2 linked regions of the Lytechinus pictus genome follow. The protein of the gene in region 1 interacts with the protein of each later gene in a pairwise test. Links are inferred from orthologs where the notes say so. Each region holds a gene or a part of one and is shown on either strand. Other genes may lie near its edges.

Region 1 (7,425 bases):
TTTGTCTGGACCACTCATCTGTCTGACTTTATTACAAGAAATGTGACCATAAAAGTAAAAAGGTACATGTACACATTGCAGTATAAATACTAAATAAAAATGCTGTACAAATAAGAAGTTTGATGCACAGTATTTAAAAACCAAACAAAAATGATAACAATAATAATATGTAAATAGAGGACTCTGCCTTATTCAAATTTGTCTGGACCACTCATCTGTCTGACTTTATTACAAGAAATGTGACTATTAAAGTAAAAAGGTACATGTACACATTTAAAAAAAAATCACGTTGTTTAAAGCCTGTCACTCTAACAACAAGTTGTTTAAACTTTTTTGTAATTGTTTAAACAGTCCTTTAAACAGTTCTTTAAAAAGTTTAAACAGTTGTTTGAAAAGTTTAAACAGTAGTTGTTAGAGTGACGGGCTTAATTAAACAACGTGCTTAAAATTTTAAACCGCGTTTTTACATTGTATGTATATTATATGTACATACATATTCCACATGATTTGCAGATCATGGTCTGAAAAATTAACTTGGCTCTGAATTAATGATGGGAGGTCAACTCATGCACATTAACTTTATTCTAACAAATGATCAAGTCCACATGGCCTCTTTTTAGTTTAGTTTTTACAATTCAGTTTACATCAAATTTTGTTTGAATTTGTTTGAATTTCTAAACTTGGCCATATACATATGTACATCTTATAATGTGAACTATACTGGTATCTTTTCATGTTATAAGCCTATGTTCAATGAGGTAAAAAGAACTACCGTACAGTGTTAACATCTGGTATTGATTATGGCACTTAACTTATCGTGAGGCTCAAGCGTGGTTAGATTGCCTAGACTATCAAGTCCACGAGTGTCTTCAGTGTACAAACTCAGTACCGCCTGTTGAAGTGGTTGCAAAATACCCCCCTCCCCCTCCCTGAGTGCCCTCTTTCCCTCGTTGCCCCCACCCCCTGCCCCCTATCGGATCTTGGGAACAGGAACTTCAAGTTCCTCCCGAAGTTGCGATCTAATCAGACTTTGGCTAGGTCGCTCATCGTGTGTGTAATAATGAAGTGTCGGCACAGTGAAAGTGAGAGTGAGGTAGTTTATAGGCCATACAGGCTCATCGACTATTTTTCATAAGGACGAGCGGAACTCGCTGCAAAATTCATTACTTATAGACACTCCTTCCAGGCTATATATGTACTTGACGAGACAACTGATAAATTTTTCATGTACATGTAGTGCCTACAGATTCTGGCTATTACATTACCGTTACTTTGCGTTTGGTTTTTAATGATGTGCACTTGCATGTATCTTGCTATTCCCTTTGCTAGCCAGGATCTGAAGATTCTTGCCTTAAAACAGAGCTGTGAAAGGCTTGGATTAACAGTTTTATTAAGCTCTCTGGATTTGTGAGTATAGTGCCATTTCTCATCAAACAATACTAATAGCACGGAAATGGAACTTTGTCTGGATGTACATTGTAGAGACTAGAATTCCCCATCGCTCGTTTCCAGGAAATTGGAATATTGGACTTACACTTATACCAGGATTTGTGTTAAAGTATCTTTGTGTGAAGTGCTTGATGAGCGATAGAGATATTGGATTAGCATGTGTTAATAGGATCTCCCAAGGATGGTTGATTAGTATTTTCATCAAGGGATAATGTTTAACTTTAACAACGGCAAGTATTATTACATGTAATTTCGTAAGATACAAAAGAGAAAATTTGAAAGGAGCGTACACTGTAAAGGCAAGAATTATTGAGGTAAAATGATTCCAAGTATTCAGGAGCACATTTATATAGTGGATTATGAGTATACATGTAGATGATAATGATTAATGGAAACCTCAATACTACTGTGTTTAATGGACATTACTCATTAGGAAGTTTCAATGCTCCAAGACATTCTCAGTTTACAAATTTCAAAATGCAAAATGGTATTGATAAAATGTTGACTATTTGAAGAACGAAATCAAATTAATCATTTACACAGAATCCGTGTAAAATATATATATTTTTAAACTAAGTGTATTAGCGGAGGCACTGAAAGATATTGATCCTTAAGTGAAAAAAATTGATTTCATTCTTTTTTGTGCTAGTGAGACTGATATAGAGCAAAATTATTCTTGTATGGATTTAGAGTTCATTGAATGTTGGCATTATACTTGCATCCCTCATGTTTATAAAAAAAAGAACTCTATTGCCATTCCATCATTGCACATGATCGCGTAGGGTGAGCTTAATAGGGGCTTGAAAGTCTGCCGACAAGGCTAGCGTTAATCTCGAGCTGCGGCGATGATTCATCGCAGGGCGGGTTCGACTCACACAAACTAGTTCTGCAAATTATGTAACGAGGAATTATTATTTTTGGCTCCGTGATTAGCCGCGGATCAATTACGTTGGAGGCCTATTTTCAGTCTGGCACATACATGTGTAATCTCCCTGTATTATAAAAGTAAAGTTCAAATTTTGATGTAATGCTGTACATGTACGGTCATATGGAGCAGAGCAGATGTACATGTATGACCAAGGAGTTACATGTACTGTATGACTGGAGGCCTATATGCATTGCAGTCAGTGTCAAGACTTGTTGCCATGTATTCTTTTTGCTTTATACTGGTATTACATGTAACTTGGGGGGGGGGGGGATATATACATGTAGGTTATTGTGGAATTTGTATGAGAACAAATGGGAGAGAGGGTCATTTTGTTGAGCTGTGACAAAATGAATCACCTTGCTTTATGCTCCACTGTTGGTACATGTACTTGGTCGATGGCATATGTATAGTGTACAGCATTTATCCAGTGGGACTCTAGATTCCCAAATTCCAGTACATTAATTAAAGCTGAAAAGAAATGTTAGACGTACAAGTAAACACTAAAAACACAAACATTGCACAAATTCATGTACATGTGCATGTACATTTCCAAAATACTGTAGTTTGACATGAAACAAACATCCAGTGTAATAAACAGAGTGGGTGCTATTGATTGTAACTGAAATCTTCAAGTACAGTACTCCCTTTTAATATGCAGTTGATTACTTTTCATGATTACTCAAATCTGTGAAATAAACTTCCTGCTGACATTAAATGCATGTACATGTATAGTACAGTATACTGTAGGCCTAGCCTATATTTTAATTTGGAAGACTTCCCTCCAAATAAAGCATGCTTCAGTACATTACATTTCCATAATTCTTCTAGTTTTTATATTTTTATTCTCTATGAATGTTTTGTACTGATCAATACATACATGTACATATAGTGATCAATGCATATATCATACATGTGTAAATGTATGTTTGTGTGTGTATTGTGATCAATACACTCTGAGCACACATTGTGTAGCTTCGACTCATTTTAACATTCTATTGGTGTAATCCAAATATGATTAATCCAGTCCACGATCGATTCGAAGATGGTGATGGAATGAATAATAGATGATTTATGAATTATTTTATACTTTGAAATGCCAAGAACAAAAGAGATACAGTGTTGAATTTATTAATTGATTATGGGTTGAAAAGTGTGAACCCATTTTGGTTCAATCAAAATGTGTTGCAGTCCATATGAAAGTAAAATGAAGGATTGGCGTTCATACATGTACAAGAGAGAAAAGGGAGAGAAAGAGAGAGCGGGGGGCGATGGGAATGGGGTTTTGTGTAAAAACAGGAGAAAAGAAAAAAAAATTCATTAAGAGGTATGGCAGAAGGGGCAAACACAATGGAGAAGAATTTGCAGAATTAGTGAACTATGAATGTACAATGTAATGAATTCATTGATTACTACAAAAATAGACTGGTACTTGGAACAACAATTTGGTTATTACATGTAGAAAAAATTACTACATTACAGTTCCTGAAAACCAGGATCCATTTTTTTTCCTTTTCCTCCCTTCCCAAAAATTTGGTTATCTGAAAAAAAGGAAAACAGCTTGTAGATTACATGTACATGTAAACTGCACACGTGACCTTATCAATTTTTTTTCAGTGCATACATGTATTTGAATGCTCTTTATAAAAGCATGTCCATGTATCCCCTGTCCCGAAAGCTCAATATCGACATCATGTACTAGAATTCGATAATGATTATTTTTGTTTTCAATCAGATATCGTGGTTTCTGTTGCTATGAACATATTGGTACTTGATTTTTTTTATGATAAAAGCTCAACCAAGAAACTATTACATGCACATGTAAGTCCTACATGTACATGAATATTTCAAATAAGAATAAATAAGTCAATCCTTATTCAAAACAATCATGTGTCCCGGATATCTTGCAATAAGTGCAGTAAAAAATGTGTAATCATAGTCCAAAGACCGATTTCATGGGATCTTTGATAATGCAAAGCCGAAAGGATATATACAATGTATACAAGGCAAATAATTTGAAGAGATCGTAGATGGTATTAATGTGTTTCTCTATCTTTATTACAGAGATGACGGATGAGGAGGCTGTGTTGGTAGTCGCTAAATGGGACTACGACTCCAAGCAAGAAGAAGAGCTCAGCATCAAACGGAACGAGAAACTCAAGCTGATCGACGATTCCCGATCATGGTGGAGGGTGGAGAAACAGAATGGCAAATGTGGCTATGTCCCTTCGAACTATGTGAAGCGAGACAAACTCGGCCTCGTGGAGAGAATCCGGAAGGGGATCTCTGCAAAGCGTACTGTACAGAAACCGGCATCGCGTCCGATCTCCCCGCCCCACAGCGAAAGCCCACATCCACACCCGGCCCAAACCGGAGGCGAAATGCCATTCTCACAACTCGCAAGGGTCATGTACCACTATAAAGCCGCACAAGGCGACGAACTCAACCTGGTCAAAGGTGAGCAAGTGAACGTTCTGGAGAAGTCCGGGGACGGATGGTGGCGAGGAGAGTGCAATGGACAGAGTGGGTGGTTCCCCTCAAATTATGTGAGCGAGGAGGACACCAATATGCCAAATAGTCACGGTTCCAGCACGAGTTCAAAAGGTGACGACAACTCCATCCCAGATGACTTTGTGTTGGGTGTTACAACTCTGTATGCCTTCAAGGCAAGGACTGAAGAAGAATTAAATTTTGAAAACGGCGAGTCGCTGGACATTATATCGAATCCCTCCGACGATCAGGACTGGTGGAGAGCACGCAACAAGAAAGGTAATACAGGACTAGTTCCGAGCAACTATGTGAAGGTTGTAGAGAATGCGGACCCTGTGTGCCCAACAAATTTTTTTATTGAGGATGCTGTTCCGAAACCCATTGATTTGCCGCAGCACGACAACAACTTTGCTCCGCCCTCTGATAGATTTTACGATAGGGATTGGTTCCATGGAAGAATTACCAGAGGGGATTCAGAGAAGATTCTGAGCTGTCCTGGAGAAAGTGGATTATTCCTCATACGAGAGAGTGAAACAATGGTAAGAACAGGCTACCCTAAAGAAGTGGTTATTTTAATGTCTAAACTGGGTGCGCTCCAAGTTCACTTGGGCACCATACCTTGATAAATACATGCTAGGGCCATTTAATCTCAATGGACTTTGGTATTTATCATGTTATATATTTCTTCAGAAGTTTTAAAGTTGATGTACATGTTTGAGATATATAAGATACATCAACCCTTAATGTCTTTTTGGTTCAGTGCAAAATTTTTAGGACTTTGGTTTGGTTTAGCAATGTAATCTCAAGATTCTATATTATCTCTCAATACAATGTCTCAAGGGATAATCTGCACATTATTAAAGCAAAATTTCAACCTTAGCACTGCCTTAAATCTAATTATCAACAAACAATCATGAAATCAATAAAACTTTTAATTATGAATATAAAACATTCTAAATATTGGTTTAATCATCAGTATCATAGTATGATGTAGGAAGTAGTTGAGAAGGTTGAAATCAAATGATTCCTTGGAAAAACGAAATAAGAACAATTATTATCTTTTATTCATTTTCGCAGCCTGGTGACTTTGCTGTGTCTGTGAAGGCTCCAGATCGAGTGAAGCATTTCAAAGTGACGCGGTCAGATAAGAAGTTCTGTATCGGACAGCGGAAGTTTGAGTCATTAGATGACCTCGTAGACCACTACAAACGCTCACCCATATTCAGCTCAGACGATGGCGAACTCAAGCTGTATTTAACACGGCCGAATCAGAGAAATTAATGTCAAGGGTGATTTCTAATGGACGCTGAAAATACCCCAGCATGAACAGAAGAAAAACTGCCTGGGTGTGCATTAATATCTTTTATTCGCCTGTGAGGGATTACATTTCTTTATTGAGTGAGGAAAGAAAGAGAGAGAGAGAGAGAGGGAGAAAGAGAGTGTGAGAGTACAGTAAAGAATGAATAAACTCTGAGAATGAACTGCATAGGTCCCAACTTGGAGCCTTGTGGGACTCACCGTGCTATGTTGATATACATGTACCAAAGTGAGATTCCAATGTACATGCACATGTGTTTTCAAAGAAACCACATGAAGAATGCTTGAGATGTACATGTAGCTCTTGGACTGTTAGTTATTGACCAGCAAGAGCCTCCTCATTTAGGACATTGTGCTATATGAATCATGATAGGATGAGCTTCATACACAGGCTTTGTGATAGCTGCAAGACTCAACAGACTAGTGAATGAAGTGCTGTTGGGGATCATCGAGCATTAAGAAAAAAAGCATTAATGTCAGTTTTATTTCAGACCTTCAAAGAAACTTATGGAAACCTTTTGTCTACTTTCCAAGTGTTGCTTTTGTCCAAGATCTTCCCCCTAATATTGTTAACTTTCTGGTTTGAATTTAACAAAGTACTTGTACGTAATTGTGTAATCCTACTGAGTAGAAGTGTCCTTTTCTCCTGTTAGTACACTTCACCTTTTCTCAAAGCCATAGAGGTTTTCGTTGTAATGCACCAACATGTACGAACTGGTTTAGTTGGAAAGAGAATGGCCCAAGTGATAACAAATTGACTACATTCTTCCAAAAATTGCATTCACTGCAGACTGCACACGGAAAAGTATTGGTATTGGACTACACAAAAATTATCGGTTGAACAATTGCGGCAATTATTTGTTGTGATTTAGAAACCAAGAACATTGGAAGAGGAATATCCCTTTTCACGATATTCTTTGGAAATAAAATGAAAAGAATTCAATAGCTACATGTAGCATTGATGATAATTTCAATCTTGTTCACAACTTTCACTTATTTCTAATGTTAGCCATTTTGTTGTACAATCCCTCTCCCTCTCTCTTTGTTAATTCACTGTCTTCTCCTCGAAGTTTGGTCTTTAGTGAAACTAAGGTATACATGTACTAATGTTGAGTATTACAATTGCTTACACTCTATGGCAGAACCTGTATGGTCTATACAAGAAGAACAGATTCCATTACCCATCTCAATAGTGACTGATCAATACATAGACAAGTGTGCTATTAAAGTGTCCCAACTAAGCC
Region 2 (7,193 bases), on another chromosome or scaffold:
ACATTATAGGCGTGATAATGAATTAGATATATATTAAAATGAAAATACAATAAAATAACAAATTGATGAATGAATAAATAAACAAATGAAAAATTAAAAAACATAATTAAAGATATAATACCAGTTGTGGTAATGATCTCAAAATCAGTTTTAATTATTTAACAGAATCCAATAAAATGACCACCCAAGTGTTTGTAAAAAATATGTGCCAAATTACTCTGGAAGAAAATGTGTAATTGCTGAGAAATATAGTGAAGCACAGAATTCCCTCAAAAATTCAAATGTCGGATATTTTTTCAAGCAATATTAGTACACTGCCTGATATCCCTTTCTGTGTTTATAGTGATCATCAGAATTATAGGTTTTGAGCGAAGATTTCATGATTCACAAAGATCAGTTTATTTCAATGTACCAGATCAACAAGTAGGCCTATATTGACCTTGATTTTAAATAAAGACTTTCTGATGAAATAACTGTTTGATACTTGTTTACTTGCATTTACATTTAAATGTATAGATACATGTAGTATGTGTACGTCTACATGTACATCTGTATTCTATGTTTTTGTAAGCATCATTTCTCACATGCACCTAATCGCCATGACCAATTGTCTGGACGCATGGACGCAACTGAGAATTATTACACACCATGCATACAGAGTAAATATTAATTTACCCTTGGACGAATAAAGCACAAATGTGTACAGTATTTCAGTTTTTTTCCCTTCTGTCTTCTTTCGTTCTGGCTATTACACTTGTTGTCACAAGCCACTTTGTTAACGATAAAAGTAATGAGCCATGAAGAAAAGTTGTTAAATGAAGGGAATATTATGAGAAATTTTAGGAGGATTAGGGCTTAAGTGGTACATGGGGCGGTCTGCACCAGCCAGAGTTTTCAAACAACCGCTCTATTTCTGATCCGGCAAATTATCCCGATTTGAAAAATCGCAATCATCGCGATATGATGTAGTTCGCTGGATTAATCTCTAACTTTGATAGGATTACTTGCAAAATAGCGCACTATTTACGAATTATCCTGCTATTACTCGAGATTCGACTCGGGATTATATATTAATGGCATCAGACCATGCATGCATTGATGCCTCGTACTTGGCAAGATTTGAAAGGAAGGAAACTGATAAATCATTTCTCCTTGAACAAAGGCAGTATCCTGCATTGGACAATGCATTGTAGACACAAGGCAGATCTAAATAGTTCCCTTTCATGTGCACAATTACAAATTTAACTTGTTTTTAAAGGGCCACACTACCCCAATAAAGAGGATTTGAATAAACTTAGAAAATCAAATGGAATAACAGGTGAAATTCCACCACAAAATCTAATGAACTTTTAAGAAAAACTTTGTCAAGTGCAACAAAACACTAAACAGTTACCCATAAACACGGGCAATACATGTATGTGCAAATGTTAATTCAATTCATAAGCTACGACAATGCCAATTACGCACAGAAACACATCTAGTGCCTCATTTGCAGGTGTGGGGCACAAAAACTTTGTGAACTGAGCAAAGCCTTGAAAGAAATGCCATAAACTTTCTAAAAAAATATCACATCCAATTATGGAGAAAAAATATCAGGGCATTTAACTCCCTTGAACCTTGTAAAAGTTAAAAGGAGTTGAGATAGACTTGGCATTTTAAAGTTAAAATCTACACAACTGTTGTGGTATTCTGGGACAAACTGAACCCAAAAGAATCCAAGAAAATTAAAGATAACATTATGTTGTCATTGCAAAAAAAACTAATGAAATTGGTCAAATTAAAAAAAAGTGAAATAAGAACTTTAATTGCACTTGACCTTACCTTTTTCATCATGGTGAAAGAATTATAGTACACACTATTCCACTTTTTAAAACTTGTTTAAGTGTTTTCCAACTTGCGATTACCAAAATTCAGCAAACATGTAGTCCATAATTGTATTTGTCCCTTTCCAAGGAAATGTTCACTTCAATTCACAAATGTACAATAGATGTTGATTACAACCTTGGGCTCACAGCATGTACATGTACATTTACATACGAAATCAACAATGTCAGCAACAAACAATGTAGGATGTGTACATGTAGGGAGGGGAGTCAATGGCCAAATTGATCAGAACACATTGTATGGAATCCCACACAAGGAAGGATGTAGGCCTACAGTATCAGGTACACAACTTCTGAGAACCAGCCAGAAAAGGATGTGAAGAACTCAGCCAAATAATGCCATCCTCAAGTGAATTTGATTATTCCTTTTATAGAAACATCCCTCGAACACATTGGACTTATTTTTTTTGTTCTTTTTTTATTTATTTAGTATCATACAAAGTGAAGTATTGAATCTCCAATTCTGAGGGGAAATCCTCTATGGTAGTTCCTCAAATCTTCCTTTCAAAGTTTCAGACCTACAATAGCAGATACTCCAATTCTGAGAAATAAAAACCTTAATTCCTGATATATCACTCATAATAGCAAAAGTTCCTGCATCTTCAATTCTGAGAAAAACAAATTGAAGTTTCTTTTATAACTCTCAGACACATTTGCAAATTAGTAAAGGTTACTCGCTATTATTCTCCAATATGTTCATCTCCAATTCTGAAAAAATAAAATATCTCTAGAAGTTCCTGAAAAACATGTATCACTCTCAGATTCACAATAGCGTACATGCGGATGATGTTGCAAGTTCTTCATTCAAGGATACTTTGCAAGACCACACGATTCTTGTTCTAATGCTGCCCACGTCACGTCACAAATATAGAGCAATGCAGAGGACTTGAAAAACTCATACAGCTGTTAATGTTTAACAGTGTACAGTTGAGAGCTCTATATAAAGCCATGTCCAGTACACATGTATAACAATCAAGGAACTCAGTCATCCCGCGATTAGAGCCTTCCCTTCACTTATGATGTCACTGTGGCTAAAAGCAGTTCGGCTTCCCAGAGAAGCGACAATCGCTTTTCCTCAAAGACAGTCTCCCATGTTTATGACTCATCCGCAGAAGTCTACATTAAACTGTCACACATTGAGAGAACTACATATTCCCTTCAAAGTGGGCTCTTCCCATTTGAACTTGAGTCAAGGAAATAAGGTGGTGAAAGTTACTACATGTAGCATAACGAGCTAAAAAAGATAGAGGGGCCAGACATGGGGCCCGTTGCATAAAACTTTTGCCATAAAAAAAAAGTCTGGCAAATGAGCGTCTACTGACGGTGTGCGCGCTCTACAAATATACACTATTATTATTATAAACCAAAACGCTGGCAAACAAAATTATGCCATTGAAAATTACACATTAAAAAACTCTGGCCAAAAAATTGCCAGAATTTTTTATGCAAAAGTTTTATGCAACGGGCCCATGGAGTATGGGACCAAGACACCGTTCTCATTACAATCCTAAAATGTACATGTAGTTTACCAGAAACCGGTTCAGGAGACCAGTTTGGAAGATGGCTTTGCTAGCATTCCCTTTAAATCACCTGAAAGTGGTTTTCATCTTGATGTAATGGGTACGTTCTCAGTTTCGCGCAAAATTTGAAACCGCAGTGTAGGCATTCTACTGTACACACCACATGTGCGAAGCTCGCTTCCCATCCCAAAGAACGGTTGTGTCCTCACATTTACACTACAAGCAGTTTAATGATGCAAAGAGATCTTGAACACTACATCCCGAGGTGGTTTTCCATTCGGTTTGGAAGATCGCTTCCAAGACCGTTTCGCCTGTTCTCATTAGGCCTACACATTTTCACTACTTAACTAGTTTTAGGACAGAACGGGTTATAATTTCTAAAATTTTGATGCGGCTATATTCCTCAAGTAGTGGGACAGATGAGACAATGAACAGCTGGAAGGTCTTTGGCGAAATTAGTGAACCAGAACAGCAATATCGGGTCGTGTGGTCCAGTGGTTACAGTATTGGACTCAAAATCGCTTGGTTGTGAGCTTGAATCCCAACTCTGCCATCGTCTCCGGTTTGATAAAAAGGCCTTAGAGTGATATCCGTCGTCTATAACGTCAGCCACTCTGATTAACCTACACGTAAAAGCTTTCCTAGGTACATGTAATTGGTTATATACTGTAGAAGCCGTTATTTTCGTGTACAGAATTTTTCGCGAATCGCGGGTTGTTAAATTCGCGATTGGAAGATGTAGTAAACATTTCCACAGCATTTAAAAGAAGTAAAACTAGTGCAAATCACTACTCTTCAAAGTACCTGTGCTGATGTGTCTTTTCTACAAAAGTATGTCCCTGTAAAAACAGTTACAAACTGTGGAAAAAGGTGGTTTAAATTTCAATTTTTTTACCTTTAGATCTGAAAATTCATCATGCCACAGTTTGATCTGTAATTTATAGGGTTAAGCAATCTTTAGAATTTGTGTTTTGTTCTATTAATTTTTCAAAAGGTTGGTAAAAGTGAAAAAATGTGGAATTTTGTGAACAGAATCTTCACCTCTATCTTCATGTGACTTATGAATATTAATGAGTATGCAAATAGCTGCCAATACGTGTGTATAGAGTCAATCAGATGACAATAAAATCAAATTATTTCATGGAAAATACATTTTAATATTACAGTGAGTGTATATATATTGATAAAATAATGTTAGTAAATAGTTTAGGCTCTGATTTTGTTTGAGAAATTAAAAAAAGGGAAATTCTAGCTAACTTTTTGAATCACTAACTGTACTTTCTAAGCCTTATTTTTTGTACATATAGAGGTGCATATCTCCACTTTCTCAATACACAGTATGTTTTCAATAGCAAAGCTTTGCTGTTGGGGACATTGGCACTGACTAAGAAGTGTGTCAATATTTTAAATTCGCGGCCTATCGGCAATCCGCGAAAATAAAACCCCCGCGAAAATTACAGCTTATACAGTACCAGCTTGGCGTTTACCAGCAAAATGCTGTCCTGCCCAGTTCCTACTGGAGTTACCATCAACAGAAACAGAATATCGTCCTAGGTTGCGGAGCTGACAAAAATTTGCAAAAATGTTGTTTGTCCAGAGTCCAGGTGCTGTTTTGATACACTAAATGTTTGACAATGACTTCTTTTTATCTGACAAAGCCTGATTTGAGGGACATTTACAATAGTAACAATCAGACACCTTTACTTTTCAGCCCCAGTCAAAACTAAAGGAAATTTTGTCAGATTAACACAACTACATGTTTTTCTTCCTTTATACGCATTAACACCTGCTCCACTGGTGGATCCAGGGGGGCACAGCCGGCCTGTGCCCCCCCCCCCCCCCATTTGAGAAGCAAAATTAAAATTTTCTTGGATGAAATCTCCTTGATTTTTGGTTTAAAACCTTTTTTTTTGCTTGTCCAATTTTTTTCTGAAACAAAATCTCCTTATTTTTTGGTTAAAAAGTTTTTTCTTTTTTTTTTGCTTGTCAAATTATTCCTCGGAAAAATGTGCCCCCCCCCCCCTTGGAAAATCCTGGATCCGCCCCTGACATGCTCAGTAATGATATATCTCATTTTTTGTAGTTTATGTACCATGTATCAGTATGTAGTCTGCTGTCCAAACCCTTCACTTGAGTAAAAGGGGAAATTGAAACAGCACGTTTTTTTATGTGTTAACTAGTCTTGTGTGAAGACCCAACTGGTGATCAAAGTTTCAATCAGGATACAGTATGTGCCTGCAGACTACAAGTACTGTACATGAAGTTTACAAGCTGGCCAGAAACAGTTCATAAAAATCTTCTTGCTTCACACAAAAATGCCTAACAAGTTACAGTATGTAATATACCCACTTTGCTTTGAAACTGCAAACAGTGCAATCGTAGTGGAATAACTTTGAAATCCAATTTCTGGAATATTACAGGCACTTTGCTTTCATACAGGCAAAATACCAAATACTGCTTATTCAAATGGGTGTCAATGCACAAATTGAAGAGCAGACAATATGACAAGATCTAGGAAGTAGTCAAGTATCTAGTTAACGCTGAGTCACGAGGACGATGGGTCGAGTTCAGGTCGAGAGCCAGCTGGAGACCAGGGCCCTGTCTCACAAAGAGTTATGATTGATCCAATCTCAATATGGAAATCCATGAATGTCATAATTTTTTTCTTCAGGAAATTTGTTCAATGTTCTTTGAACGCAAAGAGAAGCATACTTGTCATGGGTTCAAATCATCTCCAGCAAAAAATAAACATTACGCAGTGCTCAATCTACGTTTGGGTACCTTGCTAGTCCTTTGTTAGGACTGGGGCCCGTTGCAGAAAGAGTTGCAATCAATCGCAACTCTAAAATTCATGCGTAACTTGATTTTCAACCAATCAACAGCGCGCATTTGGGACTTGCGATTGATTTTTTTTTACTTGCATTCAAACGCAACTCTTTCCGCAACGGACCCCAGTTCTGCTTTCCAGTAGATCAATAACACAATCCTCGACCTCTACGCCCGAAATGAAAACAGCCCCACAATTTCCTACCCTCATGATGAAAGAGGGGATAGCGCGATCACTGGGGATAGCGCGATCACTGGGGATGGCGCGCAGGGGAGAATGAAGCAAGGGGAGAGAAATAACAAGTACATGCACCGACGTCTAGAATCTAGACTAGTTAGTACCTTGCAGGAATATTTATTTCTTGGAATGCCTGTGCACCATGCGATGGACAGTCATTAATTATTTATTATTGTTATTGTTGTTATTGTTATTATAAGTATTATTATTATTATTATATTATTATTATTATTATTATTATTATTATAATTATTATTATTATAATTATTATTATCATTATGATTATTATTATTATTATTATTATTATCATTATTATTGCTTATCATTATCATTATTATTATCACTATCATCATCACCACCATCATCATCATTAGCAGTAATACATGTAGAAGTCAAGTATTCTCTACCATCATTTTTTCCACTACCGTAGTCATTTGATGCACTTGTAAGCTTTTTTTATATTCAATTTTATTGAATTCAAACTCATTTCATCGTTTCCAAATTGTATTTCATCCTTACTAATTTGACAAATGACTTTGTTTTCCTTGTTTGTAAATAACAATTGTGCTATTCAAACCTTTTAATATAAGTTATGTAAAAACATTTGTTCAGCCTGAAGTGCCCATCGTGATGACACAGTCAACAACTCTCTGCACATGATGACCTCTATTAATAATTTTTTTTGTTTTGAATAATATTTTATTTTCTTCCTCTTTCAAATCAATA

What was found.
Region 2: the proteins of cytoplasmic protein NCK2-like (region 1) and sorting nexin-33-like interact in a two-hybrid assay, tested with the Drosophila melanogaster proteins (2 studies listed by BioGRID). The link is inferred for Lytechinus pictus from reciprocal best matches to the Drosophila melanogaster genes dock and SH3PX1.

The regions. Positions count from the first base shown.
Region 1 is NC_087260.1:16,429,028-16,436,452, forward strand, and holds the start of cytoplasmic protein NCK2-like, read left to right. Parts: upstream 1-4,406; 5' UTR 4,407-4,413; coding exon 4,414-5,403; intron 5,404-5,941; coding exon 5,942-6,145; 3' UTR 6,146-7,425. UniProt on the Drosophila melanogaster protein: Adapter protein that links cell surface receptor tyrosine phosphorylation to downstream signaling pathways and effectors, many of which are involved in regulation of the actin cytoskeleton.
Region 2 is NC_087250.1:9,496,762-9,503,954, forward strand, and holds the start of sorting nexin-33-like, read right to left. Parts: upstream 3,007-7,193; 5' UTR 1,834-3,006; coding exon 1,822-1,833; intron 1-1,821.